Linked DNA regions of Xenopus tropicalis. The protein of the gene in region 2 binds, or shares a complex with, the protein of the main gene of each other region. Links are inferred from orthologs where the notes say so. Each region holds a gene or a part of one and is shown on either strand. Other genes may lie near its edges.

Region 1 (12,830 bases), on a different chromosome or scaffold from region 2:
TCTCATATGCTACTCCAACTGAAGCTCCAGACACACATGCTTACGCTGCCACTGGAATTGATAGCACCCTCAAAGGCATGGATCCAAGCACTAACCATATGTCCTCTGAAGGGCCATACATCTTATGCCAAATTATAGGTTTATACTTTGGACTGGATAAAAGTCACAAAAGGATCAAATGAAAAAAGCACACTATTTGAAAATGGACAGCCACATTACCTGTTTATGTGCTTCAGTAGTACAAGCCTTTTTATAGGGCCGAATTTCTTCTGAACCAAAGCCTGGAATCCACATGTTCCACTGTCTCTCTGTGTAAATAGGAGCAGAAATTCAACATCTCAGACTTGTATGCTTGGTTTTACATCTGATGCCCGTGTCATATACTTAATAATCAAGAAGGAAGGCTCTCTCTATTTAACATTATCATAATAAGGGAGGAGGGAGAAAAAAATAAGGAAAGAAAAAACAATCATAACACTGTACTTTTTTTTGTACTCTGAATCTGATTTATAAGTGGTGTAATTCTTAAGCTGCACCAGCAGGTGACATTGTAATTTAGATAAAAACATTATTAATGTTATTATTAAAGGGCCAGTATACTCCCATTCAACAAGAGCATAATAAATAGAGCTTGCAATGAACATACTTTTCGCCTAATGTTTTAATCATGAAAGATCAATGTTTTTTGTTAAACAGGGCAAACAGGGAAATTTAAACTACTCCATGTTTAGTCTTTTGAGGTAGATAATTGAATTACTAGTACACATACAACCCCTCTGAATAATGGACTCCTGCTAGAAAAAATAAAGGGTAAAGGCAGTGGGTTCAGATTTTGAAGTGACAACCCCCCCCCCCCACATATATTTATTCATGAAAATTATAGACAATAAAAATCTTGACTGCTTTTCCCAAGGATCCCTTGTGCCAGTGCATGCACACTAATACACAGAAAATCTTCACTAATATTTATTTAGGAAAGTGTGATGTGTGATGTGTTTTTGCTGACTTTTATATTGATTTAATCCCACTTTTGCACAGATTCATCTTAGCTCATGACAGGGTTTTTATACATATTGAGAAAAAGCTGCTCATGTGTATCTTATCCAAGTGGGACAGCAGAATTAAACAAAATACAAAGTTGGCATCATATGGTTATGGTTAACATACCAAGATGAAGCTGTACATCCTTAACTTCTAAAGTGTTGGATTTGCGGTGTCGGGCAAGCTGGCAGGCTGCAGATACCACACTCTCAATGAAATCATCTGCGATCTGTAGAAGCATCTATGTGGACAGAGCAAGATAAACACAAATGGAAACTATGCTCTTAAAGTCAAATATTGGTTGAATGCTCACCGATGGTATAGATGGGCCTGGGTGCTCACGCCCCAGACCTTCAGCTTGAGGGGGCCATAAGGAAATCCAAAATTTAGAAGATGGCAGGCACTCCAGGACTTGAGAAAATGTATCAAGCAGTAGCTCAAAAATTGCAGTAAAATCAAAAATGTTTATTTATATTAACACATAATGCTGCATAGCCTTACACGTTTCGTACCATCATGGTACTTAATCATAGGCTAAATAAAAAGACACAAATTAGCCAATAGCTGTACAGAAAAGATCAACCAATCATAGTATGTTGAGGTTAATTGGAAGACCATTATGCAGTCTAAGCTTAGATATTAGAACAAAAACATTAGTGTTAGGCAATATAGTATACAGATCTGCCAAGGATATCATAAATTGTATTATCTTTACAAAATGTAAATATGTATATTGTAAAATAAAGTTTAACCTTTCTTTTTTTTTTTTTGTATTTAACTCTTTTATTTTCAGAATAAAGATATAGCTTCACATCATACATTTGCAGTTTTTTACATTGGTTTGAGCCTTCTTATTGTCACATTTTTAACATCATGTCACCTTATAATGTAGATGCAATAAAAGTTTAACCTTTCTATTACTAATTTCTCATTGTCTGTTAATGAAGAGCTTACTTCATAAAAGGATAATAAATGGATTAATTACACATAACAAGATACATCGTAGTCATAATTTAGACCATTTGGTTGTCGTGTATAAAGGTAAAAGATCCATTTGGTTTCTTTTTTAATAAGAGCATTAACAATATTACCTCCTCTAGGACAAGGAAAGGCTCTATCTATGCCTACAACAGAAAGATGGGATAATGATCTATTTGAACATTCATGAAAATGTCCAGCTACTGATGTGTCAGTAGCATAGATAGATACTTGTCATTTGTGTCTTTTTATTTAGCCTATGATTAAGTACCATGATGGTACGAAATGCGTAAGGCTATGCAGCATTATGTGTTAATATAAATACATTTTTTTCATTTTACTGCATTTTTTGAGATACTGCTTGATACTTTCTCAAGTCCTGGAGTGCCTGCCATCTTCCAAATTTTGGACAGAGGCAGGTCAGCGATATTCAGAAGAGAATTCTAGGAAGAAGCTAGTTTCTTTCATACAGCTTTGGAAATCTTACCTCCTCCACATCTTCATCCAGCTGTTCATTGGGATCAACTTCTCTAACCAAATCATGCAGTTTCTTCTTAGTAAGAACCTAATGGATACATTGATGAGTGTGTTCAATTCATAGTGTAATATTTCCAAGGCAGATTAATACTGGAGAGTTGTGACCGCAGCCTAGTGCAAGATACAGGGTATTTTATGTGTTATCAACTGTCTACATTATAAGCATCTGATATAGCAGCTAAGAAATTTCTTTAAGCGTTTAGTGCACTCAATTATTATATCTATGGTGTTGTCTGGCATGATTTTAGATCCACCATTAAATTAAACAGTGCTATCATATTAATATTTACCATTTGGCAGGCAGAGTGCATTTTGACATAGATTTGGGAATCCTACATTTGTGTTTATATTCCATATTATGACTCAAATCTCCTTAACAGTACCTAAGCAATAAAGGTACCTTCTTGTCATATTAGCTAGGTAACAAACTTTTCATAATAATTATTGACTTTTTGACCGTCAATAATACCTCCATATTTAGTATTTGTTGAATTCTACACTCACAGGGAACCACTGTATCTGCACCTTATAGAAACAAAATAAATGAGTTATGAGTTATAATTAATATTTTTGTTTGGGTTGAGCATCTCGATTTAATTATAAGTGAAACAATTTAAGTTAGCTGCAAATTTTATAAACCAGTGATCCCCAACCAGTGGCACAGGAGCAACATTACTCATCAACCTCTAGGATTTTGCCTCAAAGCAGGTGTTTATTTTTGAATTCCTGGTTTCGAATTCACAAGTTTTAGTTGCATAAAAACCCAGTGTAATGCCAAACAGAACCTTCTGTAGGCTGTCAGTCCATATAGGGGCTACCAAATAACCAATCATGGCTATTATTTGGTACCCCCATGAACTGCCTTCAAGCACTAACCCAAGTTTTCAGAGAAATAAATCTATAAACTACTCTAACCTTGCTACATCAACCTAGCAGATGATTGGGTGATGTGTGGAACTACTGCCCACATCAAACCTTGAAGCTCATCGCTAAACCAAATTGATTGATGTTCCCCAAGTAGTGATCAAGCTGATGGGCCATTCTGGAACTTGACTGCTTTGCTTGCAGCAATCTTATTGACAGTATCAGTTAAAAATGTGTACTTTCAATATACAGGAATAACCTATCCTATTTCTACTTAACTTTCACTTATCTTCCTACAGTATGACAGCACAGCTTATTGCATGTATGGAACATTCTTTTTCTTTATATCTGTATTTGAATGGGAGCTGCCACATTGTTAAACGTAGGCTTAAACTAAGCATGATAATCAAAATTAGCAGCAACATCAGAACCCATTTATATGTAGGAATTTAAATGAGAAATTATTCACAAGGCATAATGGTGCGCACATGGACATAGACTTCTGCTGTGCCTGTTAAACATGCTGAAGGCATGGGATGGATGGGCTAAGTGCTTATGGTGGTAACATCAAATACAGCTAGAAAACTGACAGTATTTACTGTTTTCAGTGTTCTGGTGGCATTTAAATGGTGGAAGGTTGGCAAAAGGTTTTAGTTAACCTTTAAAGGAACATTTCAGTTTAAAAATAAAACTGGGTAAATAGGCTGTGCAATATAAAAACAAAATTCAATGTAGTTAGCCAAAAATATAATCTGTAAAGGAGGAGTAAAAGGATGTCTAATGTAATAGCAAGAACACAACTTCCTCCTTTGCATCGCTCTAACCTATCAGTCAGCAACTTGAAGGGGGCAACATGGAAAATAACAGTTAAGCTAGATCCTGAGTATGAACAGTCATGTTATGTAGCCCCCCCCCCTTTTTTTTTAAAGGTACATTTTTATTGGTTTTACAACATCACAAAACAAAAATACAAAACAGTGTTTAATATATTGACATTGGAATGGTGTCGAGTCAGGTTTAGGCCAATACAGACAAGGGTACTATTGCTAGGCATTGTAATTGTCACAGTGTAGGTGGCTGTGTTTAGTTCTGTCGGGTCAGTCAAAATTACTGTAAGGGGGTGAGCTATGTGTCCAGATTGTCGTAGCCCCCCCCTTTTAGTTGCTGATTAACAGGTTAAAGAGATACAAAGGAGGAGGTTATGTTCTGGCTATTACATTAAACCTCTGTTTATTATATTGAATACAATTTTCATTTTGCACAGCCTTTTTGCCCAGTTTTATTTTTACACTAAACAGTTTAACATATTCTAAATTAGCCTTATACAGTCTGGCAAAACCTGCTGCATTAGTTAGTTGTCCAACTGTGCAATAAAGCCTGTAAACCAGCGGTCCTCAAACTTTTAAAGCAGGGGGGCCAGTTCATGTTCCCACAGACTGTTGGGGGGCCGGACTAAAGTCCTCCCCCCGTGTCCTCATACTATGGCCCACTCCCTGCTGCTTCCCCCTGCTCTCTACTGCATCCTCCGGCTCCAACCTGCATCCTTGCGTCAGATCATAGTGGGGCCAGGTAAATTACCTTGGGGGGGGGGGGCATAGTTTGAGGATGCCTGCTGTAAACCATGGCTTGGGTTTCAACTATTGCTATAAAAAATAAGGCTTCATATTATAAATTATTTTCACTTACCTGCCCATTGCTATTGGGCTTAAAACATCTTGCACTTTTAAAACTAATATTGTAACAATGAAGCCTGATTTTACAGGTGCTGCAAATACCTTCCAGAGTTATTAACCAACCTTAGTTAAAATATACTCACCTGATTTGCATCTGGACTTGCACGCCCTCCTCCAGCAGTTGGCACTGGAACTTTACCAACTGGAGTACTGTTTGCCATGACTGGCTCCTGTTTGACCGCGACTGAGGTAGGAGTGGTGGTGGTGGTTGTAGAGGAGGAGAAACTTGACAGGTTGATCAATGCGGATGCTCCAAACTGGTTCATAATCTGGAGCGCTTTTGCTCGCAATTCACCCAGTCGGGATACGTCAGCACGCTGTTTTGGGGTATGGGGCCCAGGGCCTAGAAGCTGTGGAATCGGATATAAAACAGAAAACTGTAGGTGTCAAGTGCAAAAAAAAAAAAAACAAAAAAAAAAAAACTTATAAAAGGCTATAACTTGAATACCTGATTATATGTATTTAGAAGTTAATTATATTTAGAGGCTATTTGTACCATGGATATCATCAGTTTGTCTGCTTCAAAAATTTGTCAGGTTGGCTTAGGGGAGCATTATAATGTTAAAAGTATTCTGAATCTAACAACAACAACAGAACCATCACATATGCTTAATTTTGTTCTTTATGTTGATGTTATCATGCCTGCCAACTAAATGTTTATTCCTACAGTTGTCCATCATGGCAAACAGTTACATTTTTACATGTATGGCCAACTCAAAGCAACAATATCAGTGTAGTATTAAAATGTTTATTTTCCATTTTAAATGACCTATCTAAAATCCAGCCTAGCAGTGGTGTTGCTGACACAAATACAATACACAGTTGACAGCAGATACAAAGAAACAAGCAGGCAGGTGAGAATGTTAGAAGTAAAGGACATGGTAAGTTTATTTGCTAACATAACAGAAAAAAAGTAATAGAGGCGCTAAAAAGGTATCAATTGCGAAAAGAACACTTGGTTTAAAAAGGAACTCTTTTGAATGAAAAGTGGACTATTGTAATACAGGGCTTAAACTAAACCAAATATTCTATCAAGGAGAAACTGCACTAACTTAGGGGTGATGTGGGATAATTCCTGAAGATATCTTATTTGTACCAGCATGTGGGTGGCCAAATGAGGCCCAAATTTTCTTGCTTGGCCACCTCACTAAATGAACACATCTGCAGTGTATGGTCACCTTTAAAGTTCACAACAACAGTGCCTATTAACTGCCTGACAATATCCTAAGCAAGCCCTGCTACCTGCAATACTGGGATCTGCACATCCTTAGAACAGTAAAAAGAAAGGCTAAACAATTCATTTATATGTTTGGTGTCAGGAAGTTAGTATGATCACGTTTTACAGTACAGCTATTCTCAAAATATTAGGAATGCACCGAACTCTAGAACTCTGTTTGGGATTCGGCTGAATTTGTCACATAAACATAAAAGAGTGCGGTTCTCTTTAACCCTTCCTAATCCTGGGGGGGTTCAGGCGGATCCTAAAATAGTGGCTTTGGTGCATCGCTACAAAATATATAGTGGAAGTACTTAATAAATAAATGTAATTCTACATCACTCCTGATCCTGTTTCCACCAGTTATATTTAGGTATAGTCTCAGTTTAATGAAAGCACATAGATACAAATTGTTGGCTCTACATCTTTGAACAAAACATGGTTTTTAGGGATGCCCGACTAGCCGATAAAATCCCTGTCAATGCAGGGGCTGGAATTACAAATTTATTGAACCTCTGGATCTCCCATTGCACCACAATCATACCTTTTTTTTTTTTGGATTCACTGCATAATTTGCCCTCCGTCCATCCTAGCATGGTAATCATCATTTACTAATTGGATTATGATAAAACACACTGTGATTATGCAGGAGGGAAGGGGTAGTTTGCATTGTAACCTCATGAAAGGAGGTTAGCACATTAAAAACTTGCAAGAATCAGACAGGACAGCAGGATTCTTTTTATACATAACTTTTCCTAACTGAAGCAAAAGTAGGTTGATGGCTCTGGAGAACTGCAAAAGGTGAGTGTAAGGGCAGGGGTACACTGGGAGATAAGTCGTGCCACGACAAATCTCCGTTGTCGCAGGCGACTAATCTCCCTGCAATGCCACCCCACCAGCTAGAATGTAAATAGCCGGTGGGATAGCATACACGTCATTGCGATGTCCTACAGTTGCCCAAAGTGGTCTTCTGAGGTAACTTCGGGCATTGTGAGGAGATAAGGCCGCGACAACAACTCGATGCGCGACTAATCTCCCTGTTTACCCCTGCCCTAAATAGAGAGGTGAACCAATCTGAGCACATGTATCTGATTGAACTCAAACCAATATACCTAATGTGACCAAGCTTTTACTTTATGGTGCACTATAGTCTAATGTTCCAATAACCAATTATATCAGTCTTTGTGGAGCATTTACCATTGCATTAATTGGACATATCTGCCACCTTAAAGGGATTCTGTCATGATTTTTATGGTTTCATTTTTATTTCTAAAGTACACTGTTTACATATAATAATTGACTCTACCATTAACATTTTATTCTTGAACCAACAAATGTATTTTTTTAAATTCTAATATTGGTGTGTAGGTGCCATCTCTGTGTATTGTGCCCGAGTCTGAGCTTTCAGAAGGAGCCAGCGCTACACATTAGAACTGCTTTCAGGTAACCTATTGTTTCTCCTACTCCCATGTAACTGTAGGAGTCCCAAGCCAGCGCTATCCTGATATCTATTGGGAGCTGATATCTTGCTACCTTCCCATTGTTCTTCTGATCAGCTGCTGGTGGGAGGGGGGTGATATCACTCCAACTTGCAGAGCAGCAGTAAAGTGTGACTGAGGTTTATCAGAGCACTGGTCACATGGCTGTGGCACCCTGGGAAATGAAGAATATGGCTAGCCCCATGTGAAATTTCAAATGTAAATATAAACAAAAATGTGTTTGGGTTTCTGAAAAACAGATTTCAATACAGGATTCTTTTCAAGAAGCTCTATTAACTGATGCTTTTTAAAAAAACATGTTTTCCCATGACATTATTCCTTTAAGAATGTGGGCTTTATTTTCACTTTTCCGCTATTGCAAATAAAGTAATCGGTCTGCTAAATAAAAACATACTGACAACCCTAAGCAAAAACCTGTCATATCCAGTGTAGAAAGCAATTATTAGGTAGCTTGTTGCTCTTTTGCTACCTATAAAGCACACCTGTGTTGGATTGGGTAACCCTGGGCCCACTGGGTAACCAACTCAGGAGCCCACAGCTGCTTCGCCCACAGCTACTCCTGCTTTACTTACTTACTGTTATAGGCTCAACTTTAGAACGCACACCGCCAAGTTTATTTTTTCACAGCAAGTAAGCAGTGGCCCACTCTGCTGCTTACTTGCTGTGAAAAAATAAAAGATGGCGTTCAGGTGGCAGGGCCCAACAGGGTTGGGGGGCCCACTGTTTTTTTTTTCCAGTAGCATGGTGAGCCAGTCTGACCCTGTAACCTAGTCCTATTATTTACCTACTCTGCCTGACTATCCAATGCAAAGTATAGTCAGGAAGAAACACCATAAAGGGCATAGGGGCATATTTACCAACACTTTGTAAATTTGCCTCAATACAATAGCTCATAGCAATTTTTTAGCTGTTAGCTTCAATATTTACAGTGTTAATTGAGTCCCAGTGAATAGATTTTCATTGGGAATACATTAAATACCAGCACATACAGTACTGTACACACACACACATTAATGAACGGCGCAGAAGTTGGTTAATAAGGCTGTATGGTACAGAGATACTTTGTATCACTATACAGTGGCTCATGCTAACACACTATTTACTTACAGCCAGTTGAGTATCTAGCTCTGTAATGACATCGCACACGGCGGTGGAACCGCTGAGCACACACGTCATCATCACCGGCCTTCTGCAGACAATAACAGCATCAGTTGGGCACATTGTATAAGGTTATTAGTATATATCACAGACTGAGGTGGACTGGGTTAGTAACGATGACATTTCACCAAGTTACTAGCTATAACTCAAAAATGATCCAAGGTAAGCTTACTTTCTTCTCATCTATTTAGAGAGTGTAATATTGATGTAATTTTATAGGCAAGACAATGCTCCTAACCGGTATGTTATTATACAAAAATTTTAAAGGAGACATATTGGATAAATGGGGAAAAACACTTATTTTGTAGGCAATTATGAATAATATACGGTGCTGGTTTCCCTTTGGGCTAAACATTAACCCTATCTGTAACAATGGCCCCTTTATTGGAGCTCCCTATAGATCCTATCACTTCTCTGTCCAGTGTGAAATGGAGAGTGGGCGTGTCCTAACAGTCCCTGCCAGAAGCACAGTAGGAGGGGGAGAGCCAATCACAGCCCTGCCCTCACACAAGCACAGACAGGCTTCAGTTCCCTATCAGGTCAGCCTAGCTGCTGATTGGTTCCTGTCCTACAGTGCAGGGTACTGAGGGCGGCTCCCCAGCTCATCCAGAGAATTCAGCCAGCAGGAAGTGGAACAGATGGGCGGGACTAGTGGGGTTTTGGTGGAATTTCTCAATAAATCAGTCTGAAACACAACATTTTTAAGCACAATCCTTCTATATCTAGAGGAGTATAATTCACTGGAACATTCATCATTTTTATAGGATATGTCTCCTTTAAGGAAAAACCAAACAACTGGCATATTGTTTTTGTTACCGATTTCTGCCTTTTGCTATATGTAGTGTAACCTATCCCCATTACACATTAAAGCAATGCAGGAAAAAAAATATTCAGAACAGAAGAGACTCCTGAAACAATGTAGCCAGCAAGTCCCATTTCAGTTCAACTAACTTCTAATACATTGTTTCAGGATTCCGCACCAGTGAACAGAAGATGCCCATACCTGGTGCACTCTTACCTTCCAGTTTGTGCCTGTATGTTACCCAACCACTTAGATTGTAAGCTCTATGGGGTAGGGATCTCCTTCCTACTGTGTCTCATACCACATGGCACTTATATATATATATATACATATATGTATTTATTGTATTTATTTATTATATCACTTGTCCTCCCTGTGTGTAATTGTGTATTCTGTAAGACTGTACAGCGCTGCATACCCTTGTGGCGCTTAATAAATAAAGTTATACATACATACATACATATAACCAGCGAGCCAGTCTGAAAGCGATTTATACACCACTGAAATTGTTTAACGTATATCTGAAAGTTGCAACGAACTGGATTCTAACAAGTTGAAATTGTAACCCTCCTGTGTGTATGTATATATGTTCCAATATACCTAAATACATAATACCGTGTGTGAGTCTCACACATGAGTGAGATGATTGGCACGGTACGTTACGTACAACCTGCTGCGCACTAGCACTTGCTGCACTGCTTTGCCGGGAGAGTAGGGACACCAAAGTGAGATACCCGGGAATCCCATACGTCCCGATTCTCGCAAGGAAAACCTGATAAAGCGACAATATAATCACGGAGTCCACATACCAATCTCTGCGCTTTAAGTTCTGCTGTCTCTCTCCCTGTTGGCGGACGTTACATCACACATTCTTTCCGCTCATGCGCAAATTCTTCTTCCCCCCCACACTTTATTTAACGGGAACAATCCAAAACTCAGAATATGCGCAGAAAACCGAAAAACATGGCTCCCAATACGCCGACCTAAACAAAAATTGCACCTTTTCTCGCGATTTTAAATGTAGCTGTGGACGGGAATTGGCAGTCCCATCATCCCTTCTATTTAGCATAATTTGCATATGGCCCTCGCTTGGCAATAAAATTAAAATGTAAAATACTGTTTGTTGTATTTATGAAAGTGAATTATCTTATATTTAGTGTATCCCGATCTAGCACTCATATACAATTATAGATATTTCCCTAACCGAAACTTTGTCGCCATATGTTGTGTAAGGGTTATGCTGCCCCTGGAGGTTGCAGAAACCAGATGATAGTTAAAAAGGGCTTGTGCCGTGTATGGCACATTGCGGGTCTCCCTTGTGGAGGACTGCAGTGCGGAATCGATATCAAGAGATTTCGAAAGCATAATTTTTGTAAACTGGGCTGCTAGAGATCGATGGTCTGGGCGCCCAATAATTAAGTTCAAAAACAGAGAAAATGAGGATGTATCAGCAGGAATAAGCATATTGAAGCGTATTAATTAATACACTGTGTTCCGCAGGGTTATTTTCCCGGCAACGCCTAGTGATCACGCAGAGGACTGATACTTTTTTTTATTTAAGAGTATCAATGTATGTAATACTGCCACATGCCTACAATAAACAAATAACAAAGCCGGGTTAAGTACTCAAAATCTCTCACTCGCTCCTTTTTTAGCTGTTTCGAAGATGAGAGGCTGAGAGAGAGATGAGAGTATAATTCACATGATTAGCCAGTTGCTGCGAGAGAACACACAGAATGGCCAAAACTCCACCCCCTTCCTTTTCATGCAAAGCACCAGGAGTCCTGGTAAAAAAGTCACAGGCAATCTTATTCAACATTACCTTAAATAATGTCTAACAAAAGTAGAAGTAATTGAAGGTGAAAACATTTCACACATTAGAAAGATACTTTAATCAATATAGATGACTTAGTGCGTAGCGCACAGCTCCAGGGACGGCGGTACTGTTATTCACACAGAAAAGTGCCGCACCTCCCCCTCTCCTTCTCCTTCTCCGTCCACTTGACGCAAGCACGTACGCACACACAAAAAATACAACCTTGTCTGGACGCCAAAACACAGAATTTGATGGGAGTTTTGGGTTTAAATAACACCTTTTGGTTTAATTATTGCCCAGGCTAGCTGCTAACTCCTTAAGTATATGCCTATATCACAGGTCTTTTGCCCTGTGTTCATCTGTAAACTTTTCTTGCGTTTAGGGTTGCCACCTTTTATGAGAAAAAATACTGGGCTTCCGATATTTTTATCTTTTTTTTCATATTAATAACATTGGGATCAAGCATAATTTTTACCGGCCAGGCAGGTAAAATAGCAGCCAGGTGGCAACCCTACTTTCTTCTTCGTCCCTTCCATGTCAGTACGCAGGGGCAGTATTGCCCCCATAGCTAGGAGGTAGGACCTATATACCAAAGCCAATCAAAATTAGCCCTTACCTATAAGACCATGTGACTTCCTCCTCACCACTGTTATTTTTTGTCCTACTGAACAGGAGGTAGGATCTCCCTCCTCACCATTTTGTGATTTCACAGTTTGATTTTTCTTTTGTTTTTGTCATTTATTTATTTATTTTATTTTTTACCTCTGTGTATACATAGAGGGATGATTCCCAGGTAATGGAGAAGATTTTACCTGATGCCCCAATAAGTAAAGTAATCAAACTTTCACCTATTGGGAAGAAATGCAGGTGTGGGCATACCCATGGTCCTAGCCTTGTGCTAAAATAGCCCCCTGCTCTATTCCCATGTATGCACAGTATGTGAACAGCTGCTTAGTGGGAAAGTATACAGGAGTGGGTATTTCCACATTCCTGCCTGTGATCAATTGAGTCTCCTTTTTCCTATGATGTTTTGAGCCTTTGAAGACATTTCGGACTAAAGGGCCATGGGTATGGATATGGGCTAGTGATAACTAAGCCTGAATCTGGTGAGTATGAATCTTCAGTCTCCACTGTGTGTATGAAATGCTCAGTGCACTGAGAGGCCTGCATACTAATGAGCTAATTA
Region 2 (13,466 bases):
AAGAGGGGAGGAAGAAGTGATTTCTGTCATTTCTCTTTACTGAATTATTATTAGAAAAAAATCAATACTGGCGTTTGTAATAGTTTCATGACAGAACATGATCAATTCCCTGTGAATCCTTTCTTGGAATCAGAGATCTTTGGGGGGAGATGGATGCATGAAGAAAAGACACAAGATAAAAAACTCTGCAAACACTAAAGAAGCTTGGAATATCCTTTCCGATGAAATGTTCACTTCCATAGGCAGTCAGCTGCCTATGTATCATAGCAAGGGCAGCATGATACCACATATATTAAGAATCAAAGTATCCTCAGCTTCCCATGATAGGGTACATTGGTTTGCACAAGACCTAAAAGAGATTTACATTTATAAGCTGAAAAAAAATGTTATTTTTGGTAAGGACAAACTACCTGAAGAACCACGACCCTGTTTGATCCCAGACATCCCTGGGGAAACATCCAACCCAGTCAGATTCTCAGCTTCTTTTGATTCATCCTCAGCTATCACTTCCCATCCTAATGGTGGCAAGTCAAGGAAAGGATAAGATTCTCAAATATAAAGATATAAGTTTAAATCCAGAACAAAAAATGTTTCTCTCATCACAAAGCGATCACCATATGTTTTCTCCTGGGTAGCTGTTTATAAAAGGATACGCACACTAACTGCCTCAGCATCTGTGCTCAGAAGCCGTTTCACCTCCTTCTCCACATCTGGGGACTCAATATACTAAAAAGAAAAAACAAAGCTTAGGGGTTATCAAGAAGTATCAAGAAAAATGGAAGATGATGAATATGTAGGGAAGGAAGAAGAAACAGCACATCACACATTACGATATGCAACCCAAAGAGAAAGTGGTTCCCTCAATGCACCATGATATAACTACAGAATTACCTTCTTCTTTGCAGTTTTCCTGAACCGTCTCTTTCGCACATTCTTTAGAGGTGGTGTAACTGAAATAACATAAGGGGGGAAAAAATTGTGTGTGTCTTGTGTGCAGAGGAAGAGTGGTAGGAACAATTTCCCCCAAACTATGAAAGACAAACAGACTCACTTCCATGGTTCCAAATAAATTTCTTTTCTCTGTCCCTGTCCTTCTTCTTGCTGGCTTTTGGGTCACTAGTCCCAGTTGGCTCTTCAAGAGGTGGATAGAGGTCTCCATCAAGGGTACATACCAACATCTAGGAGAAAAAAAAAAAAGCAGACATTCATGCAACTACTGGAGTAATAAAAGAAATGGCCTGATTCACAGAATGTATTAATACGGAGGGTTACTTACTTGGAGCTACACAAAGACTACACATGTTGCCTCTTTTTGTTTCTCTGCAGTTACCCTATTCTAAATGCAGTAATGAGCATGTGACCTGTTTTCATTACTCATCTGGAGAAAGGGTACTTACTAGGCACTTTAAGGTAAAGGCAAAACAAAGCAGCAAATACCTGACAGATGTCGGCAGTCTTGTAGCAAGTCTTTTTGTCAATAGTTTTTAAACACTCCACTACACAGGGAATATCAACGAGTTTTGCAGCCAGTGGTACACGGTCAACACGTACAATTCCATGACGTCCATCAGCTGGGAACAGATCATAACTACATAGTAAGTTAAGATAAATAGAGGATTAAAGGAAAAAGAAAGGTAAAGTCACTTGGGGGTGCCAAAATGTTAGGCACCCCCAAGTGACTTTAACCGCCTACCTTTTACCCCAGGCTGGTGCCGCTGTCAGGAGAAAACAGCACCAGTCCGGGGTAGCTGTCGGCACTTCCTCCTTCCGGCTTCGCTGCGCGCGCATGCGCAGTAGAGTGAAAAGCCGAACTTAAACATTTAAGTCGGCTTTTTCGCTCTACTGTGCATGCCCGGCCACCGGCAGTTTAGGAAGCTGAAGGCGGAAGGAGGAAGTGCTGCGCTCCAGGTACCCCGGGCTGGTGCTATTTTCTCCGAACAGGGGCACCAGCCCGGGGTACAAGGTAAGCGGTTAAAGTCACTTGGGGGTGCCTAACATTTTGGCACCCCCAAGTGACTTTGCCTTTCCTTCTCCTTTAAGGGGCATGTTTACCAGGACTGTAGCAACCAATCAGATCTTTGCTTCTGATTTCTAACTTGTAGGCAAGTGTTTAAATCGAATTGCTAATTGATTGCAATCTACAGTCTTAGTAAACCATCATAAATTAGCAATCACTTCAAAGTTTAAAAACATGCAACAGGGTAAAGGCTCCTCCTGAGCCACTCTTTACATTTGTAATTATCAAGTGCAAATATGCTGCAGGGATTCCATTCCAGACCGATACTAACAATCTGTATTTCTTCTTTATTTTAATTATTTTCTATAATATACATAGGTATGTTGTAATCCAGTAATTGGACTGATTATAGTTAGACAGGATATATGTTTTTTTTATTTTCTCTAGACTGGCTAGAGCTCAAAAGATAACTAAAGCAATAGAGAATGTCCTCCATAAGTTAAATGCTTGTGCAATAGGGGTTGTGCTTGCCTCTTTTATTGGCTAGTGATAAGCAAGTTACTTGCTTTTCTCTTGCAGCTACAGTACACAGCTTAGAGACAGAGTTGTGTGACATTTGGATTAAAAAATCAAGGTAAAAACAAATCAGCAGTCCACTGAGAACCTCCCCCTTGCACCAGCTGCAGCCTGTTAGGCTGTGAGAAAAGAAGCAGCTACTCAGCGGACTGCTGATTTGCTTTTCAACTTGCTTTTAGGGACAGGAATTAGAATGAGACGTTACGTTCATTTTTAAATTTTGCCCTATTTAGTTAAAACAATCCCCCCCCACCCTCAATTTATATGGGAAAAATCTTGAATCTTTCACAGCCTCAGAAACTAGGCTGCTAAAATACTTACGATGCAACTCAACAGAAAGTCTGTCTTTTGTATTTACACTCCCAGACTGGACCATCCTCCTAACTGTTGAGGCATATTCCTAAATGAATAAAAAAAAAAAAAAAAAAAAAAAATAGAAGATGAGGAAAGAACCTGATCCAGTGACAGCTGTTAGTTAGTATTTAAAAATTCCCCTAATTCTTTTTGTGTTCCACCACTTGGGAAAGTGGCGACAGTCTGTCTGATGACTTGGTGGCTTCTGATAAGGGGGTTCCCAGGTTTATTGCTGACTCAACACGAGAGATTTTTTCATCCTACAGACCTTTGTCAAGTGCACACATACACCACTCAAGAGAGCACAGATTTACTGTGTGCCATCCCTAAACTTTCCAATGCATTTAATGTGGCACTAATGAAGCCTATTGTCAAATTAAGAGTTTAAGAAAAGTAATTTTAATCACAATCATCATTAAAAGTACCATGCAATCATTTAGGAGGAGCAATGGAAGCAGCTCTACATAGGATTCCTTGCTCGGATAGGTGTCATACTCACCTGTGGGAGTCGCAGGATAAACTGGCTCTCTAGTTCGTGTGGGGCATCATCTTTGCTCCTTGATGTCTTTTGTTCTATGGAAGGAATATGTAAAACTCAGAAGTCAGTTGGCCTTGTAGGCAGTAGGACTCATATAGAGGAAGTGTTGAAAAGTAAAGAAATTAATATTTACCAGCTCTTTCACTTTTCTAGATAGCGCACATATATACAAGAAAATTATGTTTATTTTCCTGTTAATATGGTATGAAAGTATACAAGTGCATGTATTTCTGCACATTACATTGTCTCTATATGTTAAAGGATATATTACTAGTAATAAATTAAAAGACTAAGAAATAGAAATTTTTAAGAGATGGTGTGTTAGGCAACCCCAGTGAATACATTAGCTTAACCCGAGTGTAGAAATGTGCCAATCACCAGACTTAAGTTATAATAAACAAAAAAGTCTAAATATTGGTGAAAATCAAAGCTTTTATTGTAAAAATAAAAAAAAATAAAGTTTCATGGAACCTGCCCCTTTATCAAACAAAAAAGTAAATGACAACACATTTGTTAGTGTCTACCTAAAGCTCCCCTCTTAAAGGTACATGTTATGCAATGTGCTGCAATCCCATACAGTAGGTATACATTAAATAAGAATCATTGGTATTCCTAGTGTAATACAAAAATCAGCCAAAAATCAGTAGTGTAGTCTACTTTCACATATTATTAAATAAATGCATATAGATTATACTCTTATTTTAATCCCCTAGAGTGAAGAGTCTGTAACGTGTGTATCCAAAATTTCTTCCTTTTCTGGAGATACAAGAATCTGTTGTTCTCCTACAATGGGGAAGAAACTTTCTAAATATAATAAAAATTCTGTACCATTTTTGAAATAACTAAGTTACTCTTCATTGTCTCCCACTCAGCATCTACCTGTCTTTATTCTCTGGACGTAGAGAGGCAGGATTTTTGAGTGAGCTCTAATACATATTTTAGGCAAAAGGATCACCTACCCCCCCCCCCCCCCCCCAAATGCTGTACAAGACTTAACTGTCAATCAAAATCAGAATCCTAATAAGTGTATAAAGAGAGAGAATAAAGAGAGAGAGAATAAAGAGAGAATGAAGAGAGACAGATGCTGGGAGAGTAAATTGATTATTTCAGACACAGTACAGAAGTTTTTAATTGATTACATCTAGAGATCTTCTTATTTCAATATGATGCAGCCTGTATTAAAATGTAATTTTTGCAATAGGTGCCCTTTAAGCACTTCAAGGTTGTTTAATATAATACAGGATTTAATGTATACAGAAGGTATTCATTTGTATTTTTACTATAGTGTAAAGAAAAAAGTTAGCAGTCGCTTAAACAACATTTATATTACTTGTGGAAGTCATGGCCAATCTGTCAGGAGAAGTCAGTAGTAGGGGGCAAAGAAATCTGTGGGTGGAAAAAAAACCATGAGATTAAATCTTGCACTTGGCCAATCGTCCATAAATTCTAACGACAGACCATTGTTATGACTACAGTAGGTCCCCAGAACGTTTAAGCCTTTTTTTTTTCTTTTTAAAAGACTGGCTGCACACAGATATTTTAGTGAGCTTGTGAGTGGGAATCAGTTTTGACAATCTGCTCCACAAATTTTAGTTGTTAAAAGAGGAATTCTTACACGCAATTTCTCTATTACAACCAAAGCCATTAAAGGAGTGGCATACAGACCAGCTTTAAAGTACTACTACTGTACGACTGTAAGCTCTACGGGGCAGGGACCTCCATCCTCTTGTGTCTTTGACTCTTAAAGGAGAAGGAAATCCTAAGTCACTTGGGGTGCCAAAATGTTAGGCACCCCCAAGTGACTTAAATCGCTTACCTTGTACCCCAGGCTGGTGCCCGTTAGGGAGAACAGCACCAGCACGGGGTAGCAGCGAGTGCATCCTTCTCCCGCGTTGGCGCGCTTGCGCATGCGCAGTAGAGTGAAAAGCTGAACTGTAACAACAAAGTTGGCTTTTCACTCTAATGCGCATGCGCCGGCCAAGGGATTTCACCGCAGAAAAAACACGGAAGAAGGAAGCGCTCGCTACAGGTACCCCGGGCTGGTGCAGTGTTCTCCTAACAGGGGCACAAGGTAAGCTATTTAAGTCACTTGGGGGTGCCTAACATTTTGGCACCCCCAAGTGACTTAGCCTTTCCTTCTCCTTTAATTTATTGCAACTGTATCTTGTATTAATTTATATTTATTGTTAGACTTTGTATTTATCTTAATAAGCCCGTTTGTATTAATGTATTCTCCTGTACAGCGCTGCGTACATAAGTAGCGCTTTATAAATAAAGATATACATACATACATACTAGAATATGCAGAGCTGCACAATTATACAATACAGAAAAGTGTAAACAGGGAGAACAAACACTGCAATAAATAAGTATAAAAATACATAACTGTGTCACTGGTAAGAGAGACAGAAGGAAGGCGGTCTCTGCCCTGCAGAGCTTACAGTCTGAGTGCGGTGGGGACTAGTGTTGCAGTCCCTGGAAATGACTGCCACCTATAAAGCTAAAGCTTGCTTCTTGTAGCTATGCAGCGTTATAAGGAGCACTACAGTCTCTATAGCCCACACCGGCACTGAGTATAATAAACTAATTTGTTCTTCGAATTCCCATCTGTGGGTTAAGAACAACTCCCAGTAACCCCCGGCGAAGACTCGGCCCATCACCTCGACGAACTACAGGTATTCTACTTACCGGAGGAGACCCGCTGCTCTCTAATTCATTGTGAAGTTACACCTATGGGAAATTCCTAGCCCACAGAGCACCAGATACCGGAAGTATGTGGAATAGAGCCGGACTCCTTTGCCTTCTGATTGGTTCACACTGCCCAGGACTACGGTGTCCATTATAGGTCAATTATCTAAAAATCCAAGTGCGTCCTGCTTTCTCCCACCTCCAAAATCTCTGAATTGCGCCTCCCCCTTCTAGTATTAATTTTGCACTTGAATTTGGACAATGTATGTCCTGAAATGGACACCGTACTTGGAGTTCGCTAACCAATTGGGTACCCAGCCAAAGTCTCTCACAAATGATTGCAGAGAATACGGAAGCTCGAAATAGAAATGAGAGTAGCAAGTGATGCTATGTATGTGTTACCGATAGGGGTGGTAGGGTCAGTCCCCGGAGAGTGTGTACTGTGGAACGGGCGGCTCTGCTAAGCGGTGGGTTTCTCCCTGCACCCTGTAAGTGAGAGGAGTAAGTGCCGCTGTGCATGCTGGGAGCTAAGTGGCAGACATTAGGGTCTCATACGTGTTAATGTATGTATGTACAACTATATTTATAAAGCGCCACAAGGGTACTCAGCGCTGTACAGTCTTACAGAATACAAAATTACACACAGGGAGGACGAGTGATATATATATATATATATATATACATATATGTATTTATTTATTATAAGTGCCATGTGGTATGAGACACAGTAGGAAGGAGGTCCCTGCCCCATAGAGCTTACAATCTGAGTATTAATAAAATTGCCATTGGTAGCTTCTGCTTTATTATGGTTCATCAGCACTGTAAGTCTTATGGGCAGGAGCATTAGAATCCTGTAGTGTTAGAAATACTAACTATTGGGAGTGAGAGCAAGTACACTAGTCAGTTATCGCTCATTTATACCAGGAAGTGATACGTCTCCTTACTTATTAAAGTTACAATGGCATGCTGTCATGGTAGGAAGGGTGGCACCGTAAGCTTCTCCAGAGGGGACTTACAGAAACTTACTGTATTTATATATAAAGTTTGAATTTAAATGTTATATATAAAATGGAACTGTTCCTTCTGCAAAATGCTTTACTTATTTGTGGCACTGTATGGATATACTTACAGGCATACATGAATGTCAGCTCTTGGGATAAAATAAAAGCAGATATTCATATTTACCTAAAATCTAAAATAAGCCGTGCTATAAAATTCTTTTCCAATGCAGGGTAGACACATTGACAATAGTGTGTATTCACACTGACTTGCTGAAGCTTGATCGAAACATTATACTTGATTTATTTGGGCAGTGCCCATAATTGGAAGGAGAATTTGCTGCTGGAAACCCAGTGGTACTCGCTAGGAAAAAGTAACGATTTATGTTTGACAGGTTCATATGGAGACTACTGGAAACCGCTATGACTTCTACATTGGACTGGCTCTAGCTCTTTCCTCCAGCATTTTCATTGGGAGCAGCTTTATTCTGAAAAAGAAGGGTCTCCTCAAACTCTGCAGTCGAGGACAACTCAGGGCAGGTGAGAATTGCCAGGTACTCCACCATTGCCTTTATCACTGATTTTATATCTTATTTCCCCCTGCCTACAAGTTCAGCCTGCAGTGTTTTTTAGTACATAACCAGAAGCTTTCCTTTGCTAACAGTTTTGTAGGAAACTGAAAAGTGATGGCGATATAACCTTTTATATCAGGATACTCTAAGTAAATAATTCTGTCTCTGCCTGGCAGGACATGGAGGGCATGCTTACCTCAAGGAGTGGCTGTGGTGGGCTGGTCTCTTGTCAAGTGAGTATATTTTCAGAATTCATTTAGCACACCTCTGATATTGCACTCACCTGACCTATCCTTTATTATCTGTTGTTTTGTAGTGGGACTGGGTGAAGCTGCTAACTTTGCTGCATATATATTTGCTCCTGCCACACTGGTGACTCCCCTGGGAGGATTGAGCGTGTTGGTGAGGTGAGAGAAATGGGAGACAACTGGATTATTGTGTGCTGGAACTCTTTTTTTCCATTCCCCTCTACCTCTTTCTCCCACCTCCCAATCTGGAAATTCTTACTTGCTTATACTACTATTAATACTCCCCCACCTCTATTCTCATCCATACCGCATAAGCATAAGATACCACCGACAATATTTATTGTAAAATACAGACAGATTTTCCTCCTTAAAAATCAGTAAATTATGACTGTGTATATTTTTTGATGTGTATTTGCATTAAACATGAGTAGGAATCTGCCATATTTCTCCACAGCGCGGTCCTTTCTTCTTATTTTCTTAATGAGTATTTAACCTCTCCTGCTAAGACTGGGTGTGCTCTGAGTATTTTGGGCTCCACTATTATGGTTCTCCATGCACCTCAGGAAGAGGAGGTATCAACACTGAGTGACATGGAAGTAAAACTGAAACAGCCAGGTAAGAGGATCACGCTGGTAGCACAGGTATCTTGCTATGCCATAAGGCTGTTTATTAATCTACGCTTATCATCATGTCAAGGCACTCGCAGATCCCATGGGCAGACGTATATAAAGGAAACCTTTACTGCATTACAAAAAACATTAGGTACAAACTACCCTACCATTATGTTTATTGTAATAAATTAAACTTTTTCTTTATATATGCCTACCTTGTGGGAGAGGGTGTGTGATTTTGTACCAATTCTTTATAGTAGTAAAGACACCTAGTTTTTGTCCATGAAAATGTCTTTGTCAAAGATACACCTAATAATAGAGGCTTCTTTGTTAGAGCTACCCTGATGAATCACACAGCCCACTCCTGAGAACACAAGGGCATCCTTGGTTTTTGGGTGACAGGAGTTACATCCCAGGCCAAGGAAACAGTAAGAGAGTATAATCAGAGCACTGAAGCCGTAGGAAGTACTTGCTGGAGATACTGAACCCTTGATAGAATTGCAAGTAACAGCTTAGCAAGTGCCATTTTAGCAAATTGCAAAATTAATGATTAACAGTTTTAAAATATATGTACTTTAATACTGGGAAGAGCTGGATTGTGAGATAGAAAGAGACTGCTCCTTCATTACCATTATTTTTTATATCACACCAGCAATTTCTGCAGCACTCTACAACAATTTAAAAACACAAGTTACAGAATAAAAATAGGCTTTAAATGTGGGGTTTGATTATACTTATTTTGAATGATTTAGACCTAACAGCGTAATAGCCTAATAGAGTGTTCATTTTTAGCTTCTCTGACTATATTTCTATGTAATTGCTGCTAAACTGCTTCTTTTTTTTCATTGAGAATAATGCAGCAGTTATTAATGTGGAATTGCCATTAAGCAGCTGTCCTTGCATGGCAGCCAATCTGCAGACAGTATATTCTTTTTTTTCTATTCCCTGTACCCTAGAGAATCCCCTATGTGCTTATAACAGGCTTCTTATAAATGTATTTCCATACTTTGTGTGGGACAGGTATATATACTAACTGTTTTTCTTTTTTTTCACATTCTATTCATTTTGGGTTTTTTTATATACGATATACATTTTTTGTTCTTTAGTTGTCAGGTTTGGAATTTGCAGATTGGCTTAAAAACCACAGAAATGGCAGTAGGGAAATATAGCAGTAAGGAAAAAGATTCCCTCCTGACTAAGCCAATTTGATATTGACACAATTTTTGTTCTGCAGCTCCCCAGGTTAGAATTTCATCTGCTATATGGTTGTTAGGGTCCGATTACACTACCAACCAGGGAGTGGCTTCGAATAAAATGATAAATGATAAAAGTAAATAAATAATAAATATACAGATATATACACAAAATGAAGACCAAGTAAAAAGTTGTTTAAAATAGTACATTCTATAACATACTAAAGGTTAACTTAAAGATGAACAACCCATGTGATCAACAGCAGAATAAGTGACATATCTCTCTAATGAGGAATGCAGAATCCTAGCATGAAAAGGGGGGTTGTGTCCCTGATACAAATAAAGTGCAAGATGCATAGAGGCAGACAGGTTGCATCCATGCTGTGGCACATCATTCACCATTGCGGGTATAGCCCCCATTCAGTTAGCAGATGGTGACAGACAGTTATAATGTACCAGAATACTCTGCTCATCTGTACATACCAGTTCAGTTTCTTAGTGGATCCAGATAAAGGCAAAAAAAAAAAACCCAGAAAAATTTTATAGTTTGCCTCTGGCATCAATAACTATGTATCATTGCACCTCTTTGTATTTCTTTGTAGGTTTCCTGGCCTTTGTTTCCTGTGTGCTCCTGTTTTCATTCCTCCTTGCCCTGCTGGCTGCCCCCCGCTGGGGTCACAGTTATGTGCTAGTGTATGTACTTATCTGTTCCCTTGTGGGATCCCTTTCGGTGGCATGTGTGAAGGGGCTAGGTATAGCCATCCGTGGTCTCTTCTCTGGACTGCCAGTGTTTAAGGATCCACTTGGATGGGTGTTACTGCTGTGCCTGTGCATCTGCATCAGTGTCCAAATCCACTATCTCAACAGGTGAGCAATCCTTGTGGCATTCAACTTACACACACACACACTCCTCTCTGTGTATATACAGCCATATGTTTCGTTACACAGTATTCAGTTATCTGACAAGCAGAGTGACAGAACATGGGCAACAAGAGTCCAAGGGGCATCCTGCAAGTTTTCTCACTCTGCTTTCATAGCACCAGGGACAGTAAGTGTGTATTTGTTGTTGCCGTTTGTATTGGCATTGTACATTTGTAATTTGTATTGTGTCTCTTTCTTCCAGAGCCCTGGATGTGTTTACAGCCTCTCTGGTGACACCTATCTATTATGTGCTCTTCACATCCTCTGTTCTTGCTTGTTCTGCCATCCTGTTCCAAGAGTGGCAACACCTGAGTGCTGGCAGTGTGGTGGGGACAGTCAGTGGCTTTGTTACCATTGTATTGGGTGTATTCTTGCTCCATGCTTACCGGGATCTACCCCTGCCCCTCGCACTGCTCCCTCTCTACCTCAGAGACGGGGTGAGGAGAGGCACATTGGATTGGCAGGAGGTCTCCTCCCTCCGTGACGAGAGTGAATAAAGCCCTAAAGCTATTCAAGCCATCTTTACTAGCTAATACTAAAGCTATGTGGTTTTCCTGCTTTGACTGATGTAACCTTCAGTGCCATTTCTGAGGAAGGAATACAAACCCTTGCTGTTGGTTCCTTTATGGAATGTTTTTGTTACATTGCCACAATTGTGACAGATATATAATTCCCTCCATGTTCTTGTATGGCACTTTCAAAGATATTTTTTTAAGGTTTATTTCTATTAAAATGTCTAATTCTTGTTTCCTTTTTTAGGCTCCTTTCTGAAGCTATAATTATATTGTTAGTGCCAATTAAAATGGTATATTCTTCTGTAGTTGTTCATGCCTTTAAATACCTTATACAAAAAAATTCTAAACAGTGGTCCGTCCTGGAACATCAAATTGTTATATGATTCAAACTGATTAGAATGTGGAAATGTAGATGCCGAGTGTCTCACATTCTGTGACTGGCCAGCACTTCTTTTCAGCAACAGCTGCAGTGGCCCAGGCTACGTCCTGCTGGTTCCTGGGGGGTACCTAACTACTGACTACACCCCAAGTGATTTTATCTTAAATTATCATGCAGTCTAAAAGATATTTTCCTTTAGAAAAGGAATGGAACCAACCATACAATATGAAGTTAATGTAAATAAAAAAGGAATGTAAAAGTGTTTAGAAGACTCTTTTAAGCACTTTTGCAATATATATATATATATATATTTTTTTTTTTTTTTTATTTATTTATTTATTTATTTAAAAGCTACTAAACTGTTCTGAAACTAATATAATGAATTTTGTAACAATACAGACACCAGCTTGTCACTTTTCCAACTGCACAGTCAGGCAGAACATGTTAATGAGGAAAATAGACAACTGTTTTGATGTTGCTCTGGGCAGAATTGACATTTTGGTTTCTGATCACTTTCCTGAGCAGAGCAACATCAGTGCTGAGAAGATCACTGAGCAATTTTACATTCATTTTGAGGTTTAGATTTCATTTAAGTTGAACTATGGATAAACCTGGTGCAGTTGGCTTTACCTGTGTTAACAATCCACTAAACGTGTGTACAAAAACAGGACTTGCTTTCTAGCCTAGTTATGTGCCATTGGTTTTAACGTTGTAAGATCTATATTTGGGGTAATAAAAAGAGGATTCTGGGATCTATTTTTTATGCCAAATTTACTGAATAAATTGAAAAACAAAACGTATCTCTAGGATCATATTTAAGGAGCAGTTATATGGGCAGATCTCTGTTTACACTGTACAATTCTTTAATATATATTTTCCCAAACTGCATTTTCTTTCCAGAAAGACCTGGTGCATAAAACCATATTCACAGGGAAATACATGCTTGGCGATATACACAGACATACTGCTACTCATTTCTAGTAACAACACAGATACAACCATCCAGGAAAGGCAGCTTTTGTTCCATGAAACCTGCACTCCTTCATTTATTCTGTACTAACTGTATCATTTACATGAAAAATAAAATCTCTGTGCACATTCTGTACCCTGCACCAGAGTACTTGTGAATGGAATTTTACCATCCTCTTTCTCATCCAAATGGCACGGTTAGAAAAGGCATTCACTCCAGCCCACCCCAGTCTGTTATTTGGAACATGCCTCCATTGGTCTAGTAAGTGGACAAGTGTAGAGAGAGCTGCAGATAATCAGTTTGGTAATGCCTGAAGAAGTTCAATTCAGCCAAACTGGCTCTTGGATTAATGAAACTAGGACAGCCGATGGAAATATGTTCCCCTTAGTTGGACAGCCTTCTGGAAGGGTCACACCCCATGTTGGTTCTATGATAGAGGTCCGCTATTTATTCTGCCATGTTCTCAGAAAAGGAAACTCTAGATTTCTGTGTCTGCTCTAGCCTATTGAGGATGAACTGGCTGGTGTCTATGAACCTCTCCACACAATTCACAAAGCAGCCCTCGCTTCGTGCATCCATCTTGGGCCCCGGCTTTTCCATACACTTCTCCTGTATGCAAAGGAAAAGTTAGATGTCATTCAAATACCGGCATGGCAGGAGCAATGTGGGTGAAGATCATTATGAGTTCTACCAATGCAGGAACATGCCAGATTTTAAATATGGCTATGCCTTATCATTTACTACTTATTACTTGAATTATGATCAGTCATTGTGCTGATTGTATATAGGTACCTTAGGGGCTGTCACATACACACACACCCCCCCACTGGTGGAAATAAATCAAATACTGTGCTTGTCTGTAAGCAGGGACATAAATAACATCTGCCTGTCACTGAACACATGGCGTGGATTTTGAAATGGAATATGAAGCAGCCTCATGTGCACA

What was found.
Region 1: taf7 (region 2) and taf12 share a complex: the UniProt entries of both Homo sapiens proteins name them as parts of the TFIID basal transcription factor complex. The link is inferred for Xenopus tropicalis from reciprocal best matches to the Homo sapiens genes TAF7 and TAF12.

The regions. Positions count from the first base shown.
Region 1 is NC_030678.2:78,442,647-78,455,476, forward strand, and holds the start of taf12 (transcription initiation factor TFIID subunit 12), read right to left. Parts: upstream 10,661-12,830; 5' UTR 10,638-10,660; intron 9,058-10,637; exon of another isoform or gene 9,048-9,057; coding exon of another isoform or gene 8,976-9,047; intron 5,504-8,975; coding exon of another isoform or gene 5,420-5,503; coding exon 5,237-5,419; intron 2,585-5,236; coding exon 2,507-2,584; intron 1,962-2,506; exon of another isoform or gene 1,283-1,961; coding exon 1,168-1,282; exon of another isoform or gene 309-1,167; coding exon 220-308; exon of another isoform or gene 1-219. UniProt on the Homo sapiens protein: The TFIID basal transcription factor complex plays a major role in the initiation of RNA polymerase II (Pol II)-dependent transcription.
Region 2 is NC_030684.2:37,686,328-37,699,793, reverse strand, and holds the start of taf7 (transcription initiation factor TFIID subunit 7-like), read right to left. Parts: upstream 6,149-13,466; 5' UTR 6,114-6,148; intron 4,812-6,113; 5' UTR 4,769-4,811; coding exon 4,756-4,768; intron 3,461-4,755; coding exon 3,387-3,460; intron 2,934-3,386; coding exon 2,855-2,933; intron 1,572-2,854; coding exon 1,438-1,571; intron 1,179-1,437; coding exon 1,052-1,178; intron 951-1,051; coding exon 892-950; intron 727-891; coding exon 654-726; intron 516-653; coding exon 411-515; intron 1-410. Other genes in the region: MGC108429 protein, read left to right, coding at 7,513-7,651, 7,860-7,916, 8,000-8,090, 8,386-8,546, 10,338-10,602, 10,859-11,153; timm8a (mitochondrial import inner membrane translocase subunit Tim8 A), read right to left, coding at 12,968-13,129. UniProt on the Homo sapiens protein: The TFIID basal transcription factor complex plays a major role in the initiation of RNA polymerase II (Pol II)-dependent transcription.